Pelodiscus sinensis: one gene and its partners. The protein of the gene in region 1 interacts with the protein of each later gene in a pairwise test. Links are inferred from orthologs where the notes say so. Each region holds a gene or a part of one and is shown on either strand. Other genes may lie near its edges.

What was found.
Region 2: the proteins of MYO5B (region 1) and RAB11B interact in binary tests that used the Homo sapiens proteins (3 or more experiments, as listed by UniProt). The link is inferred for Pelodiscus sinensis from reciprocal best matches to the Homo sapiens genes MYO5B and RAB11B.
Region 3: the proteins of MYO5B (region 1) and RAB25 interact in binary tests that used the Homo sapiens proteins (3 or more experiments, as listed by UniProt). The link is inferred for Pelodiscus sinensis from reciprocal best matches to the Homo sapiens genes MYO5B and RAB25.
Region 4: the proteins of MYO5B (region 1) and BNIP2 interact in binary tests that used the Homo sapiens proteins (3 or more experiments, as listed by UniProt). The two-hybrid records come from large-scale screens. The link is inferred for Pelodiscus sinensis from reciprocal best matches to the Homo sapiens genes MYO5B and BNIP2.

Annotation. Positions count from the first base shown.
Region 1 is NC_134716.1:115,239,243-115,246,177, forward strand, and holds the start of MYO5B (unconventional myosin-Vb), read left to right. Parts: upstream 1-3,927; 5' UTR 3,928-4,161; coding exon 4,162-4,188; intron 4,189-6,935. UniProt on the Homo sapiens protein: May be involved in vesicular trafficking via its association with the CART complex. The CART complex is necessary for efficient transferrin receptor recycling but not for EGFR degradation.
Region 2 is NC_134729.1:25,309,733-25,317,186, forward strand, and holds the start of RAB11B (ras-related protein Rab-11B), read left to right. Parts: upstream 1-4,445; 5' UTR 4,446-4,563; coding exon 4,564-4,603; intron 4,604-7,454. UniProt on the Homo sapiens protein: The small GTPases Rab are key regulators of intracellular membrane trafficking, from the formation of transport vesicles to their fusion with membranes.
Region 3 is NC_134734.1:16,799,040-16,806,143, reverse strand, and holds the start of RAB25 (ras-related protein Rab-25), read left to right. Parts: upstream 1-4,082; 5' UTR 4,083-4,403; coding exon 4,404-4,443; intron 4,444-7,104. UniProt on the Homo sapiens protein: The small GTPases Rab are key regulators of intracellular membrane trafficking, from the formation of transport vesicles to their fusion with membranes.
Region 4 is NC_134724.1:43,189,152-43,196,774, forward strand, and holds the start of BNIP2 (BCL2/adenovirus E1B 19 kDa protein-interacting protein 2), read left to right. Parts: upstream 1-4,610; 5' UTR 4,611-4,727; exon of another isoform or gene 4,728-4,731; intron 4,732-4,833; exon of another isoform or gene 4,834-4,987; intron 4,988-6,768; exon of another isoform or gene 6,769-6,801; intron 6,802-7,623.

The DNA of each region.
Region 1 (6,935 bases):
CAAGCCCATATACAAAGTCTTTGCAATGATAATTAATAGTTTACACTTCCATCACATCTTCCTTCCCAGGAGCTCAAGTATTTTCCACCCACTAATTAAGCCTTACAACACTCCTGCAAGATGCATCTTATTATCCCCATTCTATAGAGGAGGGAACTGAAGCATGGAGACATTCAAGTGGCTTGTCCCAGGTCACCCAACAAGTCAGTGGAAGAGCTGGCAGCAGTACTGCAAACTCTTAACTCCCAGTATTATTGTTCACCCAGTAGTTTTTGCTCCTCTCCTGAGCAGATAATATAACATTCTAATTGTTTCATTTAGCAAGTGCCTGTCACCTGAGAAGCAAAAAGCAAAAAAGGTATCTGTATTTTACAGGTGGGAAAACTGAGGCATATAACCAGTAAGTCACTTGTCTGTGGCTTTGTCAATAGAGCACTGGACTGAAATTTGGGAGAGATGGATTCTCTTCTTGGCACTGCCACTGAATTGCTGGATGACCTTACGCAAGTCATTTCCCCTGTCTATGCTTCAGTTTTTCACATCCTGTGAAATAATGGTAACGATACTGACTTCTTTTGTAAAGAGCTTTAAAATCTACTGATGTGAATTACTAGGAGAGCTAGATATTTTGTCTTAATTATTATTAAAATCACACTGTGAGACAATAGCAGAGCTGGGATGGAAATTCCCAATCTTCTTCCCATTTTGCTGCTTTAATTACTAGACCATGCTACCTCCATAAGTAAGTGCCACATAGGTCTCCTACAAGGGATGTGGTGGGAAGACCTTTCAAGTCATTGAGATGCTTTTAGCTCTTTTACAGTAACTGCCCTTCTCTTTAGGATGAATAGAGGAAGTAAACTTTCACTGTGAATGTTACTGCTGCACTCAGATTATCAGCAGGATAAAACAGTATCACACCTAGCAGCTCTTTGGGCTACACACAGTCTTAAAATAAGTGTCATAACTTCACTGAAGCCACTGGTAGACCTTGCACCGGGGATTAGTGACACCTTGAATACTGCAGTCCTCAGACAAAGGTGGGTAGTTTTGTTCCTGAAGAGGATTAGTTGGAATCAGTCATTCCACGAACCCTGATTTGTGGGCAGTTACCAAAACTTCAGCTCTGTCAAAGAGAGCACATGGAATCAGTTCAGACTACTGTTGTATGGGGCCATAAAACACTGCACTTGCCAGCTCATGGTTAACACCTAGCAGTGCTGTTGACACCTCCCAGAACAAGGAAGGCCTGCTTTGTTTTAGCCTCACCTCCCATTGTGAGTCAGATACCCGCCCATCCTTGAACCTTTTGAGATCAAGTCTGGAGCAGCACCAACGCTGCTCAGCAACACCAGAGAGGCTCCACACCACCCTGTTCCTGCTGAAACTATAGGAGTGCCATACTGAAGGGATTAAAAGGTTTCTTTAAAGAGGCTGCTGTCACAGGGCTCTCAATTTCTGATCTCATGTTATCACTATAAGGAAAAGCAGAACAACACTAATGCACAAGACTTTTAACCCTATGAAGCAGGGTCGCCAGATTTGTCAGGGACTTTAACCCGGACGGCCTCCGTTCGTTGTCTGACCGCAAAGAGACAGGCAACACCAGCAAGATCCAATCACAAGCTCTTTATTGAATAGTGCGCACTACAATAGAGAGCGGCCCGTCTCCCAAGGGAACCAGCCCTGATTTCAGTAACAAGTAAGATTATATAGACAGTTCCGTCGTGTCATAAAACATTTGCCTAAGCATCTTAGCCCCCCCTTAATTAATTTGAAGCTTCTAGTGTTAATGCGTATACTTCATGGCCTTAAGCAATTCATAATGCATCAACAGCTGTCTTATCAGCCTAGAAGGCAAGTACCAAACAACAAGGAGACAGGGAGTTAAAACAAACAGAGGGCAGAGACAGTTGTTAAGATCAGGGTGAGAACAGAAACAGGGAGTTACTTTATCAGTTCTCAAACTAGCTGTTCTCATCACAGGTGCAGCCTTTTACTTACTTTATTTTGCAACTTAAGCAAGTACGTAGGGATTGCCCCTTGCTTGAGCCATAGTTCTAGTTCTGTTCTGTTCAGGAACTACCCAGAAACCTTTGTTAACCTCTTTCCTTGATCTGTCTTAACATAACTGCACTAGGCCCAATTCTCTAGGGCCTAACAGACCCAAGACTGAGAACTGTGAGGGTGCATCTACACTGCAGGGCTTAACTAGAAATAAGCTAAGCAAATTGAGCTATGTAAATTGCATATCTTATTTCAAAATAGCTTTTTTCAAACCAAGGAATGTCTACACAGCACTTATTTTGAAATAGAGCACTCGGCCACCTACTTCCCTTATTCCTCGTACAATGAGGGTTTCAGGAGTCAAAGTAAAAAGTCCTTCCGCTTGACAGTATTTTGACATTATTTCAAAATAACACCCTGCTGTATAGATGTGGACTAAGTTATTTTGGAATAACGCTAGTTATTTCCAAATAGTGTTGCAGTGTAAATGTACCTTGAGAGAGTGTATCTTCAGCTAAGGAGATTTAAAGGCAAAGGTTAGGGTACTTGTAATATTAAGAAAGAGAGTCATAGGAAAGTAATTTTCCCTTAAAGCACTGGCTTCATATAGAATCCAGCAGCCAAGAGGCAGCTTTCAGTGGGCCTGTACTGCTTTTAGAATGGTTGGTGATGCAGGAAAAATAAATGAAATTCCAAATGAGATGGAAGGAGAAAATGAAAGAGTGAGCACTCTGGTTAATGATGCTAGAGCCCTCAAATGCACCTTATTAGAAATAGCAGATGAACCTTGCTCCTTTTAGATACAAATCTACCATGATAAAGGCTGTGATATGAATAGATGGCTAGTTACTACATTACTATCTTGTATATTACTATAAAAACTGACACATCAGCAACATTCAACTGAATAATTTGTAAAGGGGGTAAAGATATAAAAAACATCTCGTTTCATGTAATCTGGCACCTTCCAAAGAGCAGGCCCTGATTCATCTCTTACAATCGTTTCATGTTATTGTAATATCATTCATTTTAGCAGTGTTAATCCTGCTTTGTTTGCACCAATTTAAAGGGCAAGCAGGAACAGGGCTGTTGTCTACTGAACAGTGCTTAGGAAGCAGAGGCAAAAATCCACTCTAGACAGGACTTTAGCAGATTTGCTAGACCAGGCACAGAATTGGTTTATTTCCAACTATTTAGTATGGTATTTCATGTTTGGGGGGAAGGGGATAGGACAAACCAACAAAAAACCTACAACCAAAACCAGCTCCCCAAACAACCTTCCCAATAACATTTACTGGGCCGTCCAAACCCCAAACGCAAACGATTTCCCCAAGCACAGTGAAGTGAGTGGTGTGGTAAAACTTCCCCGGGCAGATTTAGCAGTTTACAGCCTTTGGGTGGAGCAGTCTCTGCTCGATGAAGGGAGGACCCATTCGAACCTCAAGATCCAAACGTGACCTCGTAGCATGTGGAGCGGGGTTGCGCTGGAAAACTTCTCACGTGTCCACGAACTGCACCTCCCCATGGCTTCAAGCACTAGTCCCATGTTGCTGGCTCCCTGATTGGAGGGCGATAGGGGACTGCCGCAGGGCAGCGAGGCGCAGGCTGGCTGGCGCTCCCGGGAGGAAGGAGGGGGCTGCGCCATGGCCAGCAGGGGGCGGGCGGCCCTTGCCTAGGTGCCTGCCCGGTGCGGACAGAGCGCGCCTGGGAGCGGAGGGCGCAGCTGCTCCGCCAGCCGCACCTGGGACAAGAGCGGAGCCGAGCCAGGCTGGACGCGCTGCTCGCTTCTCTTCGCAGCTTGGCGAGCCGGGCCCGCAGGCTCCGGGCTGCCCCGCACCTCCCCATACCTGCGCTGGGAGCGGCGTGCGAGGCGGAGCTGGACCTGCCGCTTCCACCCGCCTCCTCCTCGGATTGATCAATAACTTCGGGTGCGAAGGTCGCGTCCGGCTGCGCTCGGGAGAAGCCCCGGAGCGGAGCTTGCAGGAGGATCCCGGCCCGCCCGGCATCCCGGTGCTGCCCGGCCCGGAGCCATGTCGCCCGGCCCCGTGTGAGCCTGGACTCTAGCAGCCTCGCGGCTGGGCTGGGCGCTTGGGGCGGAACCCTGCCCCCCCGGCTGCGCCGCGCCCCGCGCCCCTCGGGGGTCCCGGCCAGGACATGTCGGTCTCCGAGCTCTACACCAAGGTGAGCGGGGGGCGGGTGGGGAGTCCCGGGCTGAGCCGGGGCCTGTGCCGCGGAGGTTCACACGCCGCTCTGGGAACCACCTGCCGCGCTGGGAGAGGGGGAGGCTCGCTGCTGCCCGCCCGCTTCCCCAGCCCCCCGGAGCAGGGGCTCGGGACCCGCCCGGCTGCGTTCGTTCTCTGCCTGGGCACCCCAGCCGGCCCCTAGGGCGCCCCCCTGCAGCCAGGCCGGGAGCAGCCTGCAGCGGGCGGGCCAGGCTGCGTGTTCACAGGCGAGCGGAACTTCTGGTGCCTGGAGCCCTGCACCTGCCTCTCTCCGCCTTCGCCGTGGGGCCGCTCCCCTTGCACTGCTGCCTGCGGCCCGGCTAGCGGGCTCCCCCGCGCTGCAGTTCCCTCCCTGTGCAGCACCCCGGAGAAACTTCCTGCCCCTCTTATCGCTGTGCTATCCCCTCTCCGCCTGTAATACCCGCAGGGCCAGTGCCTCTCCGATTGCCCTTCATTCTGCAGGGTCACCTCCCAGGGCACTGCCTGGCTACCCTCCCTGCAGTCCCCCCTTCCCTTGGGCCCTCTGAGGGCACGGAGGGGCCGCACGCTGACAGTTTGTGGCTGGTGTTTTTGGAGGGGGAAGCGGCAGCAAGTGGGGCCCGGGGAGTGTTAATCTACAAGCGAGTTACCCCTGCATCGCGCTCTCTTTTCTGTGCAGCGGTGGGTACATGCTTGGTGCTCCAGACGTGGCGGGGAGAGGGTGATCGGGGCAGGAACAGGCTGGGAGGCGGCTGGCTCGGGCAGCTAGGGAGAGGCTGGGCTGAGCACGAGGAGGGGGAAGAGCCCGGAACAGGTGTGCAGAGAAAAGGAAACCTCGAGTTGTTGCTGCAGTGGCCACATGAAGTTAGGGACCGGGGACGCTTCCCAAGCCGTGGCAGCCTGCTGGGGGCACAGCCGTTACTGTTAATAGGCTGGCTAGTGGCTTTGCTGGCTTTACTGGAAAGAGCCGCTGTGTTTTTCTCTGGGCTGGCTCAGTGAAGTAGGCAGGACCATGGTCCTCTCCTCGGGTGGATGAATCATGTAGGAAATGCTGACAGTTCCTGGACGGGCACCAAGGGTGTTCCTGGCCACACAGGTGGGGTGGGTGAGAGTCAGTAGGTCTGTCTGGGAAACCTGTTCCGGACTAATTACAGTTTGCATTGGGGAAAGGACAGTGTCTCACTGAAACAACCACCAGAAAGAGATTTAGGCAGCAGTGTGGTTTCTTTGGGGGGCAGTTCAGCAACTTTTGAAGATCCTCCTATTGTTTTTAACACACACATCTGATACTCTCTTCTGTAGCTCAGATGGGGCAGGGGTGAGAAGATCATCCTTCCTACTTCTGTGTTTATTGCCTTAGGCACACCATAGAGTTATTTAAAAATCAAACTTTTTTTTTTAAGAAGCCTTGTCAGTATACAGTGAACCTAGGTGAGGACAGCTTAATGAAGTTGTCTAGTTTAGATTGAGTTTCTTGCCTTATGTTGCTTGTGCTGCCTGCTGGAGTGAAATTGACTATGAACGTTGCATGCTCTCCATGGAATACTCTCAGAAATAAGATTTCTCCTGAGACCAGGCAGGAGCAAAACACTTTTTAGCTTTGGTGTATGGCAGCATAAGTAGTAACATAAAAACTATGGCTTGTATGCCTAGCAGGTTTCATTAACAACCTCTAGGCAAAACAAAATAAAATGAACTTTTACATTCCAGAAAGGTAAAACTAGGCAAAGCAACATTAAAGTACAATTATTACACTCCAAGCAATGCTGCTGTTTTAACCCCAAGTACAGGATGAGCATTCTCCTGAAAGAAATTTAACATACCTTGTTTTTTATTTTTTAAATGCCAGTTTGGAATGGGCTTGTTCTCTGTGGGTTTCACAGTCAGTCACAATATCGATACATATGTTTCCTAGATAAGTGTCTGAGAGAGCCAACACTGTAAGTAGATGCACCATAGCGTGGGTGGGTATCTTTGCAGACATTGTTGGCTTTTCGGTTTTCCTAATATTTATGTGCTGGATGTGCAGGGAAAGGTGTAAACAGGAGATTATTTGCCCTCAGAGGTGGTGTTTTATGCTCCTTTCTGAACAATTTCCTGTGAAGTTCATCAGCTTCTGTGGGTGTACTACACAGGTTGTACCCACAAAAGCTCATGATACCATCTACATGTTTTGTTAGTCTATAAGGTGCTGCTAGACTATTTGTTGTTTTTCAAGTTTTTCCAGGCTTGACTGTGAGTCAGGAGGAGCAGAACTAGGTAGATGGCTGTTCCCTGCACTGTGCTGTCATTTTTTCAGAAACACACAGGTATTACCCAAGTAAAGTCAGGATGACCCAGTCAGCATGATCTTGTTTGGTTGCTCCAGGAACTTTCCCTGCTTATCCAGAAGGCTAAAGGTTGCTGCCAGCAGGGAGCATTATAGGGACTGAAATATGTTTGGAGTTGAAGAAAAAATTATGGGACCCTAGTCCTCTGTACAGATGGTCCTGACTTCAATGGATATTCAAGATGGGATGGATGGTTGGAAACTTTGTGACTGGGCTTTGATGGAGTTTGTCTTCTATGCACATTTTCTCATGTGGATGATCAACTACCTGATGAAAACAGTTTCACCCTTCTTGAAATTCTCCCCCCCACCCTTTTTTTTAAACAGAAAACAGGTCAGCTGTGGGCAGGGAGGAGGGAAGTGCTTAAGACGCTGTGCCTAGGGGCGAGTAAGGTGTA
Region 2 (7,454 bases), on another chromosome or scaffold:
AGACCCCTATTTTGCTATACATTGATGAGGAACGGGAGGTACTTAATGGGACGTCCCTAGGAATCGCCCCTCCTCTGTTTTCCAGTGGGTTCTTTGAATTCTGATTTTTGTCAAGTCCAACTGAAAGGGGAGAGCTCCCTCTGGTGAGGAGAGCGAGGACACTGCATGCAGTGCTACTCAGGAAACGGCAGGTTCTGACATTCCTGTTCTGCAGTGGTTGGGAAATGCCCAGGTCCTGGACCAGCACCAAGTTCCTGGTTGTAGTAACACCTGGTATCTGATGCTGTGTCCTGTTGACAAGTAATGAAAAGTGCCTACATGGCAGCTTCCACCCCCAGGCTGCAGCACAAGAGGGTCCTGGTTATTTGTGCAGCACAAGAGGGTCCTGGGTCCTGGATCCTGGAGCGCAGCTTCCTGGGAGGGCACAAAGCTCCAAGTGTTGCTGGAAATAGCTGCCTTTTTTCTCACCCATCCTGCTTGTGAACAGACTCTTGCTCCCTTGGGATAGGTGCCTGGCCTTGGCTGCAGAGTGGCAGCTATGTCTAAACCCCACACGCATTGTAAAGGGGTAACAGAATCCTGGCTCAGCTTTAGAATGAGCAATAGTGTGTCTCTGAAAACTAGTTCTCCAGGCACCTGCCCAAGTTGGCCTGGAGCCAGCGGCCAGAGACCGATCCAGGGTGACACAGGCTTGGCATGTGCCAGACCACAGCTGGATCAGTGCTGGTGCCACGCTGCAGAGCAGCAATGCTGCTGGGTTGGTAGCCATGCACTCAGTGGACTGGCAGTGGCATGAAATTGATGAGCTCTCTTAACCTGCTATTCAATTGGCAAGATTTGACCTAGCCCCAACAGCCTCTGGCTGGGAAATGGGGTTTGCTTAGTTATATACCACACACTAGCTTCCTGCCAGTACGATGCAAATACCCCATGCAGGCAGTCAGGCGCTTGGACTGACTTTTACAGCCACAATAACCTCTTTGGCAAGAAGCATAGGACCATGCTAGAGCCTAGAGAAATAGTCACAAACAAAACAACACAACTCTTGAGCCAGAGAAATGATGCTGGAGTCTCCACACAGAGGTGAACAGGTTTTGTTCAAGTGTGACACTAAACCCACTAAACTAGTGCAACGTGGTACGTGGATACTCTCATCCTGTTAGCTGTAGCTAAACCAGAACAAGCTAGGGTTAACCCACAGTAACGCTCTGCACCTGCTTCACTAGGCCCCACGACACTCATGCGTCTGTGAAAAAAAGGGGGGGGGCAAACTTTTTTTGCTGGGTGTGGCAAAAAACCTAGAGCCAGCCCTGCCAGGATTCAAGTTCCTGGTAAGGCACTAGAGCTTCCCCATCTCTGCTGCATGCCCTGGGCCTTCCCGCATGATCTTTGCTTACTCTTCAGGATCTGGCCATTCCCACCAAGGCCCATTTCCTGACATGCCCACTGGCCTCTTGCTCTGCAGGCTCAAAGGCCTCTGCCATTCCAATGCAGCCATGCTGTGTGCCCACTGAACTGTTGGTCAAATATCAGGCTGGATGAGAGCGGGCAGGTCAATGAGGCGAGCTGTGTCTCTGAATAATAGCAGGGACAGGCTGCCAGGCACCCCAAAGGACAGGCAGGCAGGCTGGCTCAGTAATATGACCAGTACATTGGGTGACAGTGCCAAGAGGATTGCTGTGATCCAACCCATCACATCAGGCTCCAGCATTATAAACGCATCTGCCATGGCTGTTCCTTTGGAGTAGACAGTCTACATAGTGCGGTGATCTCTTCACACAGCAACATCATCCCAAACATCACTACTGTGAGTGGGCCCTCTTATGCACTGCTGGGGCTGCTGTGTCTAATACAGCATTACTCTAGCAGCTTTGGGCAGTGCCAAATACAAGGTAGAAGAGCGACTCAAGGCAGCTTCATCACTGCCACATTCATGCCAAAGAAGCTTTGGTGGGAATCATAGTGGGCCACAAAATCTCTATGGAATAGGGATGTAAAGTTCAATTAATTGGCTAATCGAATAGTTTAGCCATGGCTCCCTCCACCTTAGTCCCCAGCTGACCCCGGGCTCCATGCAGCGATTCAAAGCAGCAGACCCCGGGCTCCACACAGCACTGCCACTTTGAAACGCTGCATGCAGCCCGGGCCAGCTGGGGACTCCCAGCTGGTCCCAGGCTCCACGCAGCGCTGCCACTTTGAAGCTCCCCTACACTCCTCCCCCTTTGCTGCTTCTTTCTGACAGAGGCAGCAAGGGGGAGGAAGCGACTAGTTGACTAGCATGTTGACTATGTAGAAACCATTTAATATTTAGCTAGAAGCCATTCGGTATAACAAAAGCCATTTCAGTTTCTTGTGTCTGCGCGTATACTAGAGGGAGTGAACAGGCCTTCACCGAGGTGGGGAGAGGCCAGAAAGATGCGCTGTTGGAATGTGTTAATGAACTATTTTGAGCTGAAGCTCGAACTCCCTCTAAACCTGTTTCTTTCTCTGCTGATAATGCTTCTTTGAAGTTCATTTTGATTTCTTGCCCTGACGTCAGACTTGTTTGGTTAAGGGTATAAAATACTAGGATTAATTATATTAGCCAGCCTTACTGGGCCCGGCTCTGCTGGGACCACATTTGGCTCACTTTACTTTTATTGGCCAATAAAACTGTCTGTTTAGCTGCGTAAACTGAGTGAGGCTTTTGCTTCAACAACTAAACATTTTCTTATCGGATAGTCGACTAGTCATTCACATCCCTACTATGGAAGAGTGATCTGGGACTCCCTGAACCATAAGGGAAACCTCTTTTATTTGGCTTAGTCACTGGAGCTGAAAAGGGAGCTCAGAGCCAGTAAGCAAGGAGTCCGATACTGGCCTCATGGATTTATTCATGAGATGAATCAGGAGTCTGGCCTCCATGTCTTTATAGATTCTGGAAGTAAACAATATGCAAACAGCATATCTCCCCAGTAGGCACCTCAGATACCCGAAAGATGGGCTTTTGAGGTGCCCAGTTTGCTGGCATGGCTCCCTCATAGGAGGGACAGAACAGAAATAGTAGGAACCTGAGGAGGCCATTCTGGTACCAGAAGTCTAATTCTGTAAAACTAAGTAGGTGAATAAAAATTGACAAGGAGCAGGTAACTAACCCCTTTAATCATAACTTTACAAAGTTATGGTTTGGAAGAATTCTAGCCTGCTTGCAAGGACAGACAGCAACTGCTTCATCTTAATGTCAAAGCACTGGCACTGGGTGCTCCAGCGCTGGCACACTCACGGAGAAAAAAGTGGGTGTGCAGCCTATCAGCTCCCTTCTCCTGCTAGTGCAGCAGGCCCCATGAGCCAGTACCTTCCCCTCTCTGTTCCCATACCTCCCCCTCACCACAATTAGCTATTTCACAGTGTTCCTGATGCTGAAGGGGAGCAAGAGAAGGAAGAACACAGTATGCTCAGGGGAGCAGGGGTAGGGCAGCTTTTTGGGAAAAGGCTGGGGTTAGGGCCAGCCTGTGGCAGAGCTCCTCCTGGCACTTTGGAAAGTCAGCACTTATGGCCAGAAGGCAGTAAAAGGAAGGCTTCACTTGTTTATGCCCTCAGCACAAGAGCTCAAGGGATATAAGTGTAGGCCCACTACATAGATACTGCTGGCCAAAAGCCTAACCTGCAGCATGAGGCACACGTGCACAACCAGAGTAATCCACATCATCTTTGTCCTTCGGAGGGGGGTGTACTAGGAAGCAGAGGTGCCAACTTCCTGAGTTCTTAGGGGATGCTCAACCCCCCATTCCACCTTTCCTCAAATTGTGCCCCACACTCACTGTGCCCCCTCCTCCCATTGCTGCCTGCACACCTCAACAGCTGATCACATTTAGTATCAGCTGGGAACATCTGGTGCAGCTGTGAGGGGGTTGGGCAGGTAGCCTTGGGCTGGGCCAGGATTGGACAGGTGCCAGGCTCTGGAGACAGCAGGGGGAGCTGGGCAGGTGCCAGGCTCTGGGCGGGGGGCAGGAGCCAGGCTCTGGGTTGGGGGGGAAGCAGGAGCCAGGCTCTGGGCTCGGGGTGGGGGGCAGGAGCCAGGCTCTGGGCCCGGGGTGGGGGGGGCAGGAGCCAGGCTCTGGGCCCGGCGGGGGGGGCAGGAGCCAGGCTCTGGGCCCGGCGGGGGGGAGGGCAGGAGCCAGGCTCTGGGCTCGGGGCAGGAGCCAGGCTCTGGGCCCGGCGGGGGGGAGGGCAGGAGCCAGGCTCTGGGCTCTGGGCAGGAGCCAGGCTCTGGGCCCGGCGGGGGGGACAAGCCCGCGCTCTGCCAGCGACGCGCCCCGGGGCTCCTCCAGGCCTGGCGGGTGGTGGTTGCACCAGGGCCTGCGCGGGGCCTCCCCAGCCTGCTTAGCCAGACTCCGCCCCACTGCCCTGGACCGATTGGATCTGCTGCCCGCTCGTCACCAGATGTAGCCTCTCATTGGGTGGCGTCTGAGGCGGTCGCGCTGTGGCCCACTCCCGGAGGCCGCTGATAGGCGGCCGCGGCAACCCCTCCCCCCGCCCCGCGTCGGTGCCTGGCAGCAGCGGATCGGCCGCGCCGCCATCGCCATGGGCACCCGGGACGACGAGTACGACTATCTCTTCAAAGGTAGCGCGGGCGGGGCCGCGCCCTCCGGTCCCCGCCCCCTCCCGCCGCCTGGAGCCCGCGGGCGCCTCCATGACACCCGCCCGCCCGCGGGGCGCCCAGCGGGGGCTCAGCCCGGGGGCACCGGGCGGCGCGTGCAGTGACCCGGCTCGTGGCTGTCTCCTCGCCCGGCAGCCAGGGCCCCGCCCCGGAGCCCCGCACGCGAGGGGAGGCGGTGGGCGCGTTCCGGGGTGTCGCGCCGGGCAGCGTCCTCCCAGCCGGGTCGTGGGCAGCGGGCGAGCCGCGGCTCCGCACTGGGGACGTGACAGTCACCCGGACCCGGTTACCCTTCGGGCTCTCTCTGTATCGGGGCGGGCAGGAGCTGGTAGTGCAGGAAGCTGGCTTAAAGCCGGCTCCCTCCACCCCCACTGACTCCTGGGGAGTCGGCTGTCGTCCCACAAGGGTTACATGGCTGGTTGGTTACTTAATTGAGTGCATTTTAATATCCCCAGTCCGCCACTGCTTGCCGTGCTAGGACTCAGTATGGAGACACATTCTCAGGGGTAGCCATGTTAGTCTGTATCTGCAAAAAACAACTTGTGGCACATTAGAGACTGACTCTTTATTCTTTTTATGTAGACAAAGCACTTGTTCTTTTTCTTGGTGGTGGCCATGCATATATTGGGCTTGCTAGGGAAATTATGTTTTTCCATTAGCAGCAGTTTGTGTGTCTTTCATAAAAGTGAATATGTGTTTCACTACATAACCCACTTGTTTTAAGAACTGCCAAATAGTTGGAAAATATTTTCCTCCTTCCCCACCACTATTAAAACTTAATTGATTAGCTTCAAAGTATGGTAAGCTGTCAGGTCTGGTTCTAAATCCCTTTTGGAGCTAAACTCTACTATCAGTTTTTCAAATGGCTCAGTATCCTAAGACTTCAAAGCTTGACAACTGCCTAATTCATTTCCCCCCCTCAATAATAATGTAAGTAGATGAAAATATGCACCACTACATGGATCTTGTATCTAAACATCTGAACTTAAATTAGACTTTAAATTTTCAGGAAGGGACAGTGCTTTTGTATGAATTATCTGTTGTCCCATAAGTAAAACACTGTTTTGCTGTTCCCCTTCTAGCTGTAGGATCTTGATTCTGACATGGAAAGAGATAGGGCTGTTGTGTAGACTATGATCTCAAAAGTAATAAGACAGTGGTTAAGCCCAAGTCCAACTCTACCTCTTTGTGGAACTATATATTGAGCAGGTATTGAGGAAATATTTTTTTGCTGGTCTTCTGATCTGCCCTTATTTCTGTGCATTGGTTCTTGAGTTGTCTTTCCCTCTGTTCCAGCAACCATATGGTGGTCTGAACAGGAAGGTCACAACTGCCTTTCAGGAACGACTTTTTAATTTTTCAGTATTTGTAAAGGAGGCCAAACAGTAATTTTGTGTAAAAGAGGCCCTGCATTTGTACCCTAAAAAAGCACGTGGAGATAATTTAGCTCTAATTTTAGTTTTACAGACACGTTTTGCTAAGGAAAGATATGTACAAGTATCCTTCCAACTGTCATTGGAATGGCTTAGTACACCTGATGAGGTTTAAAACTTCAGTTATATTTTAATTGTTAAAAATATTTATTGCTCTGGCATTTCTTTTGTAAAAAGTGGAAGTGCCACATGGAGCCTGGGGCCAGTGAGGAGTCCCTCTACTTCCTCTCCTCTCCCTCCCCCCCCCCCCTGCTCCCGGCAAACCCTGGGCTCCATGGGGTGGTTCTGCTTTGAAGTGCACAAGAGCCCCTGCTGGCACTTCAAAGGCAGAATGCAGTGCAGCTCTTGCTACATTTCAGAGCAGAAGCGCCCTTGTTGACTAGTCAAATAGTTAATGGAAATTCCATCGACTATTTGATTAGCTGATTAATCTAATTTTAATATCCCTAATACTGATGTTAGACTTACTGGTCTGTATTTGCCAGGATCACCTCTAGAGCCCTTTTTAAATACTGACATCACGTTAGCCATTTTCCAATCATTAGATACATTAGGCTGACTTAAAGGGTAGTTTACAAACCACAGTTAATAGTTCTGCAATTTCCCATTTGAGTTTTTTCAGAACTCCTGGGTGAATGCCATCTGGTCCCAGTGACTTGTAACAGTTAAGTTTATCAATTTTTGTTGTTAAAAGATAGGAGCATTTTAAATTGGGCTTTTCTCTTTTCACCACTTAGATGATCACCCTAGTGGCCAAGAGAACAACAGTAATGTTTAATGTGAAATTTCTGCATACACCGACTGTTCAGTATTTGGAAATGGTTGAGAAACTTGAACATAGACTGTTGCTAAAGCCAGTTCACTCTTGTATTGTTCCCCTCCACGATATGGTCAATTCTTGTGTATGTGGGAGTGTCTGTTTAATATTAAAAAATAGATGGGATAAGAGATGGCTGAAGTCTGTCGAGAACAAATTTAGTAGCACCTTAAAGACTAATAAAACATGTAGATGGTATCATGAGCTTTCGTGGGCAAAAAGTGGGTTTTGCCCACGAAAGCTCATGATGCCATCTACATGTTTTGTTAGTCTTTAAGGTGCTACTAGACCAATGGTGCGCAGCCTGTGAGTCGTGACCGCCAAGGAGGTTGCGGATGTCTTCCCCGGGGGAGGTCATGGCACTTAAATCTGGCCAGCTGGGGGCTGGGCCCGTCTGTTGGCAGCCATGTGGTGCTTAGATCCAGCCGGGGGCTGGGTGCGGCCACACAGTGTGGTGCTTATATCCAGTCAGCTGGTGACTGGGCCCAGCAGTTGGCGGTCCCCACGGTGCAGTGCCTAGATCTGGCCGGGGGCTGGGTCCAGCATTTGGCCCCCACGACGCAGATCA
Region 3 (7,104 bases), on another chromosome or scaffold:
TTCCTAACCGAAAATGCTCTGCTGCCAGTAACACTGGTGTAAATCTGGAGCGAGTCAATCTGGATTTACACCCCCGTGACTGACTACAGACATGAATTCGGAGTGTCTGTTCTTGGAGATACCAGCAGTGTCCAGGTCTGATTCTGTAAATCCAGCCACCGGTGGTAGGAGGCCCACAAACACCCGATTCTCCCCCTCCTACCACAGTGTAAGTGGAGTTATTTCTGATCTGCACCAACAGCAGGAGAAGCTGTCCTGGTGTTTTTTAAAAGTGAAACTAGCCAGTTCATGTAGTGCTGTGCCCAGGGTTAAGGCTTGGGTCATGCCAAGATCAGCGGGTCGGAGGATGGTACCATGCTCTGCCTGCCCTGGGCTGGCCCAGGGGGTGTGAACTAAAAGCTACCCAACTTTTGTGTTCACATGGTCCTGTCTGACACAGAGCTACATCAATGCAAACTAGGCACCTTTTCATGCTGGCAGAGTCTGCACAGAGTAGCAGCCAATGAGAGCACACACCAGTTCACATGCCCTGAGTCGGGGCTGTGGCACTGTGTAGACAAATCCAAAATAGTTGTATCTCCTCCTCTAATCCACTCATGTTTATACAAATTATGGAAATAGAAGGAAATTTGCTAACTCAGAGCTAAGGGGGACGCAGCGTAGCCTAGTGCTTTGGACAGGGAGTCAGGAGACCTGTATTCTAGTCCTGCTTCTGGACTGTTGGGTGACCTCGGGCAAGTCACTTGCTTGCTCTGTGCCTCAGCTTCCCTGCCTGTAAAATGGGAGTAATGATACTGCTCTCCTTTGGGAGTGGCAGAAGAAAACTATGAGCTATAATGAGGGAGGCCCATGGGAGCTTGGCCAGTAACAGCAGTGGCACCCATAAGCGCAGGAAGTATGGGTGTATGGGGTGCTGCACTACCCTCAGTTTTTGCACCCTGTGTCTTGGCTGCTCTGTTGCAGGTTCCAGAGTCCTGACTGCCCACCCTGCATGCTGGGCTCCCAGACACTGACCCCACTGCCAGCTGGCCCCATGCCCAGGAACTCCATTGTCCACCCTGGGTCTTACTCAGCTGCTAGCCTCAGGGGCTTTGCTGCCAGCCCCAGCTCTAAGGAGTGGTTTGGGGCGCAGCCACAGCTGGGGCGGGGTGCAGCTCACATCAAGAATTGTTCTAGCACCACTGGTAGGGCCAGGATTTCACTTGCTTCCCGAGCCATGTAAAAAGGGCTTCCTGAGCCATGTAAAAAGAGTACAATGGGGAATTAGCCTCCTGGACTTCGCATACCCCCCCACCCCGCATTAGCATGAAATAGTTCACGAGCGCACAGCGTCGGTGCTGGGTAGCGCTAAGCCCTTAATGGCTCTGATTTCTCCTCCTGTGACTTGGCCTCTCCCACCCCCTGCTGAGTTTTCACCTGCCTACGTAGGCGGTGGCATTAGCTCACACAGCTCCCTGCCCAGCCGGAAAGAGGTGCGGTCCCAGGCATAGACGAAAGCCCTGTTGGCTCAGTCGCGCTGCCTCCCGTACCTAAGATCCGTCCAAGGGCTGATCATTCTCCTGCAGTGGCAGCTCTGGGGATCCAGCGGCGGGATCGTAGCGGCTCATGGGTGGCAGGTGTAAGAGGCAAGGGAAGGCAATACCTTCCCAAGCTACCTGGCTGGTCCCACCCACACTCTGCCCCCAAACCCCCTCCCACTCAGTGTGGCTCCCTCCAGTCTCCTGGGGTGCCTGGGCTTCAGCATCACCCGGGCTCCAAGGCCAGAGGAGCCGCTCGCTGCCTGCCCTCTGGGTTTGGAGGGGGGGGCCACCGACCCTCCCTGTGCTCTAGGGAAAGCTAGGGTGGGGGTGGCCTGCCCCTACAGTGTGGGGTCTTGGGTTCCATGGGGGCCTTGGGCAGCAGGGGCGGGGCCTCAGGCAGCAGGGGTGGAGCTAGGGACTTGCCTCATGCAGCCCTGGGTTCGCTCACTGCCCTGTAGTGGCTGTAAGCCGGGGGTGGGGAACCTTTTTTGGGTCGGGGGCCACAGACCCACAGAAAAATCAGTCGGGGGCCGCCCCCAAGTGAGAACGAAAAAAACAAAACAAACAAACAAAAACCCAACAAACCCCCCAACTGAGCCATTCCCCTCACACCAGAGTCTAGGCAGGCCCAGGCTAGTCGATTTTGTGTGCTCCAGCCCCTTGCAGGAACAATGTCGATTCCCTAATGCTAGGAGGGCCCTGACGCCGTCGGTTCTCCACCCCTGCTCTAAGGCTAGGCAATGAGAACCCCATTTGCGGAATGAAATATTGGGGGCCTTCCCCCCACCAGCCTGAGCCACTTTAAAACCTTTTCCCTCAGCTCCTCTTTAGAGGCCTTTCCAGTGTCTCTTCTACCAGTCCCCAGAGCAGATGCTGATGCAGTGACAGGACCTGCTTGTGAGAGGAGGGCCTGGCTCAGGGGTTGCCCACCGGGCTGGAGTCAGGAGAGCTGGGTTTTGAACCATGGAAATCAAACCCCTCCCCAGCCTTTGGGCCGCTGTTTGCATTGGTAAGCTGTCTCTTCAGGTAGGGTCTGTCTCTCACTGGGTCTATGTACAGCACGGAGTCCAGAGGTCACCTCCATGGACCGCTGAGGTGCGCGAGTCATTCGCACACGGATGACTGAGAATGCCTCTCTCATGCTCCGTGGGTTCACCTTAGTCACAGCAGGCACACGGTCTGCAGGGGCAGAGCAAGGGGCAATTGGGGCCCAAGTACATTGTATTCCCTGGGGCTCCCCCCATGTCACCAGGGCCATCCCTAGGGGGGTGCAGGGCCTGGATGACCCTCAGTGCTCCAAGCCCTGGGATCCCCCTTCCCCACCTCAGGCCCCACCCTTGTTCCCCTCCCCTTCCCCAAGCCCCATTGCTGCTGTGCTCCTGCCCACCACCATCACCTCCCCCAAACAACGTCCTGGATTAGAGCCCCCCCCCCATATTCACCAGGAGCCGGAGCAGCCACCCTGGTTCATCCTACCACAGATGGGATGGCTCTGCCTGTCACTTTCTTTACACAGATATTTTGGGGCTCCTCGAACTTGGAGCCCTGGTACAACTGGACCCTCCTCTGCATCCCCTCTTGTCAACCCCAGCCAGACTCCTGTTAGTTCATCCCTTCCCCTCTCAAATAGTCAGTCCCCTTGGCACTCTGCTCCTCCAAGGAGTCCTTCAGGAAATAAACGGTGTCAGCCCCAGGCCAGAGTGTGTGTTACAGGCCTCTCTCTTGGTCCCAGCCACAGAAGTCAGGCTGCAGGGCTGAGCTGAAGCGATAAGGGGGCTCAGACTTTTCACGCTGCAGATCCCTGATTCACTCCCTGGTGTGTCACCAGACAGGCATGGACTGTTTCCAGGGGAGCCCGCTGTAGGCATAGACACACCTGAGGCAAAGCGTGTTTTTTGAGGCACTTGACCCAGATCCGCAGAGTTGGTTCCGCAGGCAAATTGCTCCTCTCTCCATCCTCAGCTCTTTCTCCTTGTCCCCTCTGCCTCCCACACCCTGCTGTCTGGCTTCCTGCTGGCCCTCCCTCCTCCAGAGACTTGCCAGCCCTTCAGAATTCCTCTGGCATCCCCAGGAATGAAAGATTCATCTTTCCTATGAGTTCATATCCTGTGATGAAACCCCCCACTCAAACTGGTCCTTCTACACCAGGGGTGGGGAACCTCAGGCCTGGGGGCCGGATGTGGCCCCCGGCTTGCCTGGATCCAGCCTTCCGAGGTTCACCTCACTGGGCACACATAATGTACTAGGCTGGACCCCTTAGGCTCTGGTTCACAAGGGGAATGTGGAGAGTGTCTTTCTCTTCAGCTGGGAGCCACGTCACTAAGGAGTTTTGTTTGCTTGTTTGTTTCTTCTCACTTTATATGCAGCCCCCGTCCGTTTTTCCTGTGGGTCAGTGGCCCCCGACCCAAAAAGGTTCCCCACTCCTGCTCTACACCTAGGGTGAAGTTAAGCCGAGGCCAGTACGGGTGAGCCCAGCAACCATGTGACGCTGGTGGGGGTGGTTTGCACTACCTGACAAACCTGTACAGCGACACCCGGGTCACACCTCACTGAGTCAGCCAGCCCTGCAGAGCTGCACCTTCAACCCGCCTAGAAAGGATCTATTCCCCGCCCAGTCCCTCTGACAACAGGACACAGAAGCTGGGTTTTTGGGAGCTGGTGCAGTAAAGGGAACTTGGCTCTGTGGGTCTCCTCCCCTCTGGCAACTCTCCTCCCAATCGCTTTCAGCTTCGCTGGCTTAGGAGGAAATTTTGTCCTCTCTCTTCCTGGTTTATCAGAGCCTGGCAAAAAAGAAAACTCCCCCACACCCTGGCTGGTAAGGAAGCAAGCAAAGATTGAGAGGAGGATCCCAGGCCGGAGGGGGGCCAGGTGTGGCTGGGAAAGATGGGGACAGCTGAGGAGAATTATAACTTTGTCTTTAAGGGTAAGTTTTGCCGGCACCCTCATTCGGTGACTAGGTTTCAATGTGCTAGTTCTGCCTTTTGGAAGGGTGGAACTGGGGGCATGGGGAGAGGTGGGCAAAGGATGGATGGATGGATGTGGGGAGACCAGCTGCAGCAGTGATGGGCTGAGACAGTGGCTGTTCACCTTTCTGGACAACTGTATCCCTTTCAGGAGTCCGATTTGAATTGCAAGCCCCACGTTTCCCCTCACTTAAAAATGACTTGCTTACAAAACCAGACGTCGAAACACAAAAATCTCGCCGTGCACGGCTACTCCAAAATCTGCTGACTTTCCCATTTTTACCACCGAAGTATAAAATAAATCCACCGGGGTATGAATATCGTATTTACATTTCAGTGTGGCGCACGGTACAAACAAGTCACTGTCTGTATGAAATGTTAGTGTGTATGGACTTTGCTAGTGATTTTTATGTAGCCTGTTGTAAAACGGAGCAAATATCTCGATGAACTGATGTACCCTCTGAAAGACCCACAGGTGTACACATGTTTTCCCCCCACCCCTGGCTGAGAACCACTGGGCTAGGGCATGTACCACAAGAGGTGGAGGGGAAGCAGCCATCCAGAACAGAAACTGGGGGAAAGGGTCTTTCTCCTGTGGTTATGAGGAGTCCTTCGAGGTGGCTCTTTGACCTCGGTCCATCCCTGTGGCCAAATCCCACTTCACCAGGGCATAAGCCCTAAAGAAGTCAGTGGAGCTACACCAGGAATTTGGCTCAGATGAGCCCCTCAGCTATACCCTCCTCTCCCAAATTGTCCAAGATTGTGACCCACTGAGTATCCCATCAGTAAATCAACAGCCCAGCTCGGTGCCTGGACTGACGGGTGCGTTGTGGGATGCAGTCAGGGGGTCTGACACCTCCCTCTTGAGCAGCAGTTCCCAAACTTTTCAGCATCACACCCACTTTTTGATTTTTCAAAAACCCTCACATTCCCTTCCCCCAAAATAGCAAAATTTGTTGAGGAAAAAAAAAAAAGGAACTGACTGGGGCAGCAAAACTTGATGGGGGAGGGGGGGGTTGGGTCGCCTCGTGCTCCTCCCCCCCCCCCGGGAATTTCTTCACACACCCCAGTTTGGGAAGCCATGCTCTTGAGTATTAGGTACTCGTCGCTGCTGGCCTAGCTGGACAATCAGAAGTAGCCAGTGTTACAGTGTCACTGCTGCGGGGGGTTGGTGGAATGGTGCTAAGCTCAGTGTGGAGGTTTGGGGCTTCTGTCAATCCAGATCCCCAGGCATTTGAATCCCGATGGATGTCTGGACTGTCCCACCTTGGGAGCTGGTTCTCCATCACCCCACACTGTGAGTGCGCATTTACATCTATGCAAAGTGCTACCGGATCAGAAGGGGTGCAAAGACCAGCACGAAGTGGAGAGCAGCCTTAAAGGGTGGAAATAGCCATGTAAGGATCCTGCTTGCACAAGGGGCTGTCCCAACTGGTTTGGAGCTGAGGAAAGGGCCATAAACATAGAGGGAGGATTGGGGTGTGGCCGGAATGCAACAAGTACTGTGGCTAATCTGAAACAAAATACAGGACTATGTAGCACTTTAAAGACTAACAAGATGGTTTATTAGGTGATGAGCTTTCATGGGCCAGACCCACTTCTAATCTGTGATAGAAATGTAGCCGTGTTAGTCTGGTGTAGCTGAAACAAAATACAGGACTATGTAGCACTTTAAAGACTAACAAGATGGTTTATTAGGTGATGAGCTTTCATGGGCCAGACCCACTTCCTCAGATCAAATAATGGAAGAAAATAGTCACAACCATATATACCAAAGGATACAATTAAAATAATCTGTGTTTCTCAGGCCCCATAAGGAGCAGAGACTGTTTCTTGCTCTGGGTTGTCATGGCCCCCTGTCATGCTGGGGCCTCAGTCTTGGTATGAGCCTCCAAGTACTACTGTAATGTAAAAAGTATTAATGCCAACATGGCGTAATGCCTGCTGACAGGATCAGGCCCTAACTGGATTGCATCCCTTTAGAGCGCAGTTTCTTCTAACCTGAGTCAAACTGCTTTCAGTAACTGGAATTGCAACAAAAGCCAGATTTAAAAAACAAAACAAAAAAACCCACCAAATTTATTTTCTCGAACAAGGAAAATGTTTTGGTTTTTCTGGAAAAAAACATTTAAACCAAAATTTTTATTTGCAGGGGAAAATGTTTATTACTTTCTAGCCAGGTCTGTATGCCCTTATTTCACTGGGAGAAGGACAGTGGCTCTGGCAACTAGGCCCCAAACTTTTACTAAAATGATTAGGGGTTTGGAACGGGTCCCATATGAGGAGAGGTTAAAGCGAATGGGACTTTTCAGTTTAGAAAAAAGGAGACTGAGGGGGGATATGATAGAGGTATATAAAATCATGAGTGGTGTGGAGAGGGCCGATAAAGAAAAGTTATAAATAGAAGAACTAGAGGACACCAAATGACATTAATGGGGAGCAGGTTTAAAACTAATAAAAGAAAGTTCTTCTTCACACAGCGTGTAGTCAACCTGTGGAACTCCTTGCCAGAGGAGGCTGTGAAGGCTAGGACTATAATAGAGTTTAAAGAGAAGCTAGATGATTTCATGGAGGTTAGGTCCATAAAAGGCTATTAGCCAGGGGATAAAATGGTGTCCTTG
Region 4 (7,623 bases), on another chromosome or scaffold:
TGGGCTGTGCCCACAAAAGCTCATGAGACCATCTACATTTTTTGTTAGTTTCTAAGACTGTTTCTCTCAAACTGTGGGTCCCGACCCCCTGGAGGGTCGTGAGCAACTTGGACGGGAGTCGCGGTATCACAAAGTTTGAGAACCCCTGCTCTAATGTGCTGCAAGACTATTCTTTTTTTTTTTTTTTTTTTTTAGAGAGTGAGGGATGTTTCAAAGTTGGACTGGCATTCAAGGTATATAAAGGACAGGGGGCAAAGAAAGAAAATATGGTATCCGTATGCACTTCTCAACTAAGCAATGCCCATCCCAACTTATTCTTTAATGTACTCTTCTTCCCAGAGTAAAAATGGGGATGTACCATGTACCGTCAAGGTAGGAGGTGAGTATTTACCATCTGTGTCCCTTTTGCTATATTTTTCAAATCTCAGCTTCTTGCATTTTCCATTCTGTATCTACACACCCAACTCTTCCTTATTTAAACCCTCTCTTGCCTGAATTATTTTATTATTTATTACTAAACATAGAGGCTGTGTCTAGACTGGCCAGTTTTTCTGGAAAATCAGCTGCTTTTCCAGAAAAACTTGCCAGCTGTCTACACTGGCCACTTGAATTTCCGCAAAAGCACTGACTTCCTACTGTAAGAAATCAGTGCTTTTGGCGGAAATACCATGCTGCTCCCGTTCGGGCAAAAGTCCCTTTTGCGCAAAACTTTTGCGCAAAATGGCCAGTGTAGACAGCTGAGATTTTTTTTGCGCAAAAAAAGCCCCGATCGCGAAAATGGCGATCGGGGCTTTTTTGCGGAAAAGAGCATCTAGATTGGCCACGGACGCTTTTCCGCAAAAAGTGCTTTTGCAGAAAAGTGTCCGTGCCAATCTAGATGTGCTTTTCCGAAAATGCTTTTAACGGAAAACTTTTCTGTTAAAAGCATTTCTGGAAAATCATGCCAGTCTAGCCATATATTATAGTAGTGCATGTAGGCCCCAATATATATTAGGGGCCATTGTGCTAACCTCTGCACAAACAAATAATGTAAGGTCCTGAGAGTGGTGACCTTATTATCTTATTAATTGCACTTCTTTTGTCTCTGTGCTCTGTCATATTTTTCTTCACCTTTGTCTTCTTTTTCCTTTTCTCTGCTCATTTTTCTTTTCCTCCACACCTTTAAATCTATTCCCCCTCTTATTTCCTCCATATTTCCCCCTTATTCTTACTCATGTATTGACAGTTAAGTTTTATATTGATCCTCCTCCTTCTCCTGAAACAGTCAAACTGACTTCATTTTTGTACCCTTCCACCTTTGTCTCGACAAGCTACCATAAGGTAAGTGAAGAGAAACTGGCTAGGTTAGCACCTGTCTCAATACGGTGGCAATGTACTAAGCTCTTTATAAAGCTAGCGACACTCAGAATAGGTTGAGTGAATGACTCTATGTTGATCTGAATCTCTGATTGCACCTGCCCTAGAGAAGTTTGTACCCATTTTTCAGCAACAGTTTAGATGCACTATTAGACATGATGTAAGCTTTAGTGTGTACAGTGCTGAGGAGTTTTTACTCAACATTATAAAAGCCTGCTTATGTGAAAGGTTATAGTCAGATTTTCATGATGTGATGGTAAAAATGCCTGAGTCCATTTACACTAGCATTGTATCTGTTGATTGCAGTACTTCAGATGTACTTGTGCTGGAAAAGACTATAGACAATTCTTGTTGTTGTTGCATAAACAAGATCTTTGTGGGAGGACTACCTCAAACTCTCTGATGGGAAAGATAGATGACTTCACTATTTCTGAAAGGGTAAAGGATAATGTGGTAATAGGTGAAAGTCCTAGTGATGTGTGTGGTCAGAAAAATATAATTTCTCTGCAGGTTTATGATTAATATAGTAGTGGCATAAGTGTTCTATCTAGCCATCTAAAATGGTACAACTCCAAAGGTCTCAAAGCCCTTTCTAAATGTGAAAACAACAAGGAGTCCTGTGGCACCTCAAAGACTAACGTTAATTTGGGCATAAGCTTTCATGGATAAAACCCCCTTCATCAGATGCATTCTGAATGTGAGTTAACTTACATTTTAGAGACACTGAGTGCATAAGAACATAAGAACGGCCGTACTGGGTCAGACCAAAGGTCCATCTAGCCCAGTATCCTGTCTACCGACAGTGGCCAGCACCAGGTGCCCCAGAGAGGGTGGACCGAAGACAATGATCAAGCGATTTGTCTCCTGCCATCTCTCTCCAGCCTCTGACAAACAGAGGCCAAGGACATCATTTTATCCCCTGGCTAATAGCCTTTTATGGACCTAACCTCCATGAAATTATCTAGCTTCTCTTTAAACTCTATTATAGTCCTAGCCTTCACAGCCTCCTCTGGCAAGGAGTTCCACAGGTTGACTACACGCTGTGTGAAGAAGAACTTTCTTTTATTCGTTTTAAACCTGCTACCCATTAATTTCATTTGGTGTCCTCTAGTTCTTCTATTTAGGGAACTAATAAATAACTTTTCTTTATCGGCCCTCTCCACACCACTCATGATTTTATAGACCTCTATCATATACCCCCTCAGTCTCCTCTTTTTTAAACTGAAAAGTCCCAGTCGCTTTAACCTCCCCTTCATGTTCCCTTGATTCATAAAGCATAGCAATATACAGTTAAACTCCATTGGTCCGGCATCTGACGGTCCGGCACTCCTGATGGTCCAGCACCATCAGGAACCCGGAAGTGCTCCGCAGCCGGACCATTGGAGCTGCTCTGCCCCCAGCTTCCCCTATTCAGCCGCTGCTAAAACTGACCAGTGGCTAAATCGGGGAAGCCGGAGGTAGAGCAGCTGGGGCGCTGCCCCTGGGGGCTGCGTGACCAACCCGGCAGCACCCCAAGCGTCCTGATTCAGCCGCTGCTGAAATTGACCAGAGGCTGATTCCAGGAAGCCCGAGGCAGAGCTGCTCTGCCTCAGGCTTTCTGGAGTCAGCTCTTGGTCAATTTCAGCAGCGGCTGACTTGGGGACGCCTGGGGCAGAGCAGCTGGGGTGCTGCTGGGTTGGTCCCGCACCGCCGCTCCTCGGTGCTGAAATTGACCACTGCTGAAATTGACCAGCGGCTGACTCACTCAGTATCAGCAACGTCTGACTTGGGGACGCCTGAGGCAGAGCAGCTGGGGTGCTGCCGGGTTGATCCAGTAGCGCTGAGGAGCGGCGGTGCGGGACCAACCCAGCAGCACCCCAGCTGCTCTGCCCCAGGCGTCCCCAAGTCAGCCGCTGCTGAAATTGACCAAGAGCTGACTCCATTTTAGCCATCGGGCTTTCTTGCGCAAGAAATTCATGTTGCCTGTCTACACTAGCCTCTTGCGCAAGAACAGTTGCACAAGAGGGCTTATTCCTGAGTGGGAGCATCATAGTTTTTGCGCAAGAAGCACTGATTTCACACATTAGAACATCAGTGTTCTTGCGCAAGAACTCCCCGCCAATGTAGACAGGCAGTATGTTTTTGCGCAAAAGCAGCCACTTTGGCGCAAGACTGCGCCAATGTAGAAACAGTCTGAGACTCTGCAGTTCTAAAAAATTAGGTCACTTATTTACACTTTATTTAGGTGCCTAACTTTTAGGACACACATTTGATCATTTTGACATCTGATTTGATTTGTCCAGAATAGTGAATTCCCTGACTGGCGCATGAACCACTACTCTTTTTTGCAGTGGTTTTTTTTTTTTTTTTTTTTTTTTTTTTTTTTGCAGGGGGTAGAGGGAGGCAGGGACACTTCATCCCTTGGAAATTGATTTTGTCAAGAAGTGGGTCTTGTTTGATACAGCCATATATGAACCTCCCGTGTCTAGAAGTACAAGAATTGATGTCCTGCTTTAAAAAAAAATGCTTTTTGGTAAATGTTTAGAATTTTATGATGAAATTGATGTGCCGTCGAGGGAATCATTTCTTACCAACGTAAGTATTGTATGTGACACCTACTACTTTTCAGTTACAAAATCCCCTGGGGCTTGGGTAGCCCAGGGAGATCCAGATCCTCCAAAGTACTTAAGCCCCTCATTCCCCCTGCTTTGGAGGGGAGCTGAGGCCAGACATACCTGTGACAACTGGAGCCAGTCTGACGCTAGCGTCCTACCCTGTGGCAGGCCCTGCCCAGGCCCAGGGGCAGGGGGCTGCTGCCCAGCGCTGGCGTGCAGCGGTTCAGCCCTCAGGGCCGGGCTGGTTCAGTGGCACAGGACCCGGCTCCCCCAACGGCTCCTGCGGCGCAGCCCCCACACTGCCTAGCGCGATGTCTTCGGACCGTTCGAAACTGGGTCCCCCCGCCCCGCCCCGCCCCTTCTGCCAGGCCCGCCCCGCTTCTCACTGTTCCCAGGCTGGGAGCGCTGAGGACGGGCCTTTTTCGAGGGGGCGCGCGGCTGGGAACCGGGAAGCCTGGTGCCCTCCCACCCCCAGCGCTGGGAGTTCGGTGCCTGACAGGCTGGGGCGGAGCGCGCACGCGCAGTCCCGCGCGCTGACCGCTCCGGGCAGCAGCCCTCGCTGCTCACAGCAGCTTCCCAGCGTCTCTGGGGTGGGGGGGGGGATGCCGGACGCACTACGCATGCGCCTCACTTGCAAAGCCCCTGGCGGAGTCGTGGAACGCGCGGCTCCTGCGACCCTGACTCTGGTTTCTCCCTGCCCATCCGGTTCCGGGTCAGCGCGGGGGCGGGGGTGGGAGGAGGGGGTGTCTGTCAGTTTCCTGAAGGGACCTAGTCCCGGTAGGTATGTCCCGCTGCCGGGGGGAGCTGGGGGGGCGGGGTCGGTAGTCGCTGGCTCTGTGGAGGGGGGGTGCCCCCTTGAGGGGCGTCACGGAGTCGGGGGCGCTTGGGAACCGTTGGGCGGCGGCGTTTCTTGTTCACCCCCCTCCCCGAGCTGGGCCGGGCCGTGTGTGGCGCCCGGTGTCGAACCGGCCGCTCGGTAGCCGGGGCCGGGCGGCTTTGGGCAACGTCCGCAGTGCTTTGAGCGCGCTCTGGCCGCGGTGCGTTCGGCGCTTTCTGTGGGGCGCTGTCTCGGGAAGCCAGGGCTTGGCAGGGGAAGCGGCCTTCACAGGCTCAACGCGAAACCGCCGTCTGAAGCGGCGCTATCCAACGTAAACGGGCAAGCAACGATGGGACCGCTACTGGGAGACCAGTACTTAGGTGTCGTAGCTGAGCTTTGCTCGGCAGAGTCAGGAGTCCTGCTCAGTCCCGCTCTCCTTAGCATGTGTGGCTGAAACAGGCAGGAATCGCACTCTGAAATGGCGTGGGGTGTGTTCTTTCGTACTGTCAACATCCCCTGGTCTTCCTGCTTAACGCCCTTCAGCTTTTATGACCGTAGCACCCTATCATGTGAGCAGATAAATTCCCTATTCCCAGAATGCAGATGTTGAAAGAAGAGAACAGCTTCTTGTGGTTATCCTGCAGAAGAGACCAAACTTGTTAAATGGTCATCCTCTTTTGTGGAGACTGACCAAAAAAAATTTTTTTGGTGTTGATTTCTAGTTTAAAATAAGAGAGAGATAGATAGATACAGGCAGTCCCCGGGTTACGTACAAGATAGGGACTGTAGGTTTGTTCTTAAGTTGAATTTGTATGTAAGTCGGAACTGGTACATATTGTAGGGGAAACTCTAGCCAAACATTTCTCCAGAGCTCAGTTTTATTCTCCCACACCTCACTTCCCTCAGTCCTTTATTCTCAAGCTGAGTTGTCTGCTGAGAAAAGCCGCTCCGCGTCTCCCTGGTCTGCTGGGGTGGGGGGCTAGCTTCATGTCTCCCTGGTCTGCTGGGGGGAAGCAGCTAGTGCGGGGTTGCCTCACCCCATTTGTAAGTAGGGATCCGATGTAAGTCGGATCCATGTAACCCGTGGACTGCCTGTAAGCTGCTGCAATTTTTATAGTAACTCAGATTGTAAATAGGTGGACATACCACATTAAAATACAGGAAATAAAGAACTGTTTTCAATCTAGTTGTCACCTTGAATACCAAATTCGCTGAAGTTTTCTCAAACTTCAATCAAATACTTACATTCCTGCTCTCTATGTAGTTCAATAGAAGTTGTTTAAAACTTGAAAGTTATGAACTCTAATATAGTTTCCCAATTTTTTTAGACTCTTCTGTTGGACCATCTTTTCATTCATGATTTAACGGCTTACCCCTTGCCATTGGAGATCAGATAACTGTAAAGCAGCCAGAACAATTACAGGCAGTCCCCGGGTTACACGGATCCGACTTGCATCGGATCCCTACTTACAAACGGGGTGAGGCAACCCCGCACTAGCTGCTTCCCCCCAGCAGACCAGGGAGACGTGAAGCTAGTGCCCCTCCTCCCCCAGAACACCAGGGAGATGCGGAGCGGCTTTTCTCAGCAGACACCTCAGCTTTAGAATAAAGGACTGAGGGAAGTGAGGTGTGGGAGAATAAAACTGAGCTCTGGAGAAATGTTTGGCTAGAGTTTCCCCTACAATATGTACCAGTTCCGACTTACATACAAATTCAACTTAAGAACAAACCTACAGTCCCTATCTTGTACGTAACCCGGGGACTGCCTGTAAATACATGAAAAAAAATGTGAGGAAAAGAATTTAGTGTTAACTTCTAATAAATTTAATAGTTGGAAACAAGAAGGTACGAGCACCATATTATTTATTAAGTCTTGGAAGATCATATTTGGGAACTTCTAATTGAACTCAAAATCTTCCTTTAAGTGATCATTGTTTGTATTTAGTCAAGCTATGCTATAGATGTTTGACAACTGAAACAGTAACTTAATATGTTTTTCAGTTATGCACAAGTTTCTTCAGTGGAAACTGCCAGGTAAGTCATTTACAACTCTCTTCTATGTTTTCCAAGTAAAAGTTCTTTACATTAATGATTTGATGAACACTAATGATTGTTACGTTGATTTACAGTGATTATTGCTAATCTTCTAACAACATTTTAGCATGAAAGTCATTAAAGAAATCCATCGCTTCCACTATATCCGTGTTTAATCTGGTTGCCAAATCTATTAATTGCACAACTGTTCCTGTTAGCTACTTTAAATAACTGGTTTATTAAGCAATAAGACATGCTAAACTGTGTGTTTTAAAATGTTTAACACCTTGGGCTATATTATGAGGTACAAAGCCAAAATTACTTTAACAAACCTAAAGCAATAACTGCTGTACAGTGCATTACATAGAGTTCAGTATTACATTGAATTCCATTTCATAATAATATTTTTCCTCCCCAGTAAAAGCTATTTTTAGAGCTGCAAGATGCTTCTCACGAAGCAAGTATTTTTATAACTTCATTACAATGCATTCTTATAACTTTTTGAGATGTGGGAATGACTTGCAACTTTGCAGGTAGCTAGTACTTGATGAAGATGAGTAGTTATTTCAATTTTTGAACCTCATGATACAAATTTAGAAACAAAAGAGTTTTGCTCAGGTACAGTAAAACGTGACAGTGCTTTTAATCTGGGTAAGTTTCTAACCATTTGGTTGAATTAGGAAATATGCCATTTTTAGATTTCATATATTAACTGTGACTAGAAAGCAAAATTGTCATCATTATGAAATTTTTCTATTTTTTAAATGACAATTTCAATTGAAATGTCATGCTTAGCTGGTAAGATAACTACACTCTTATGTA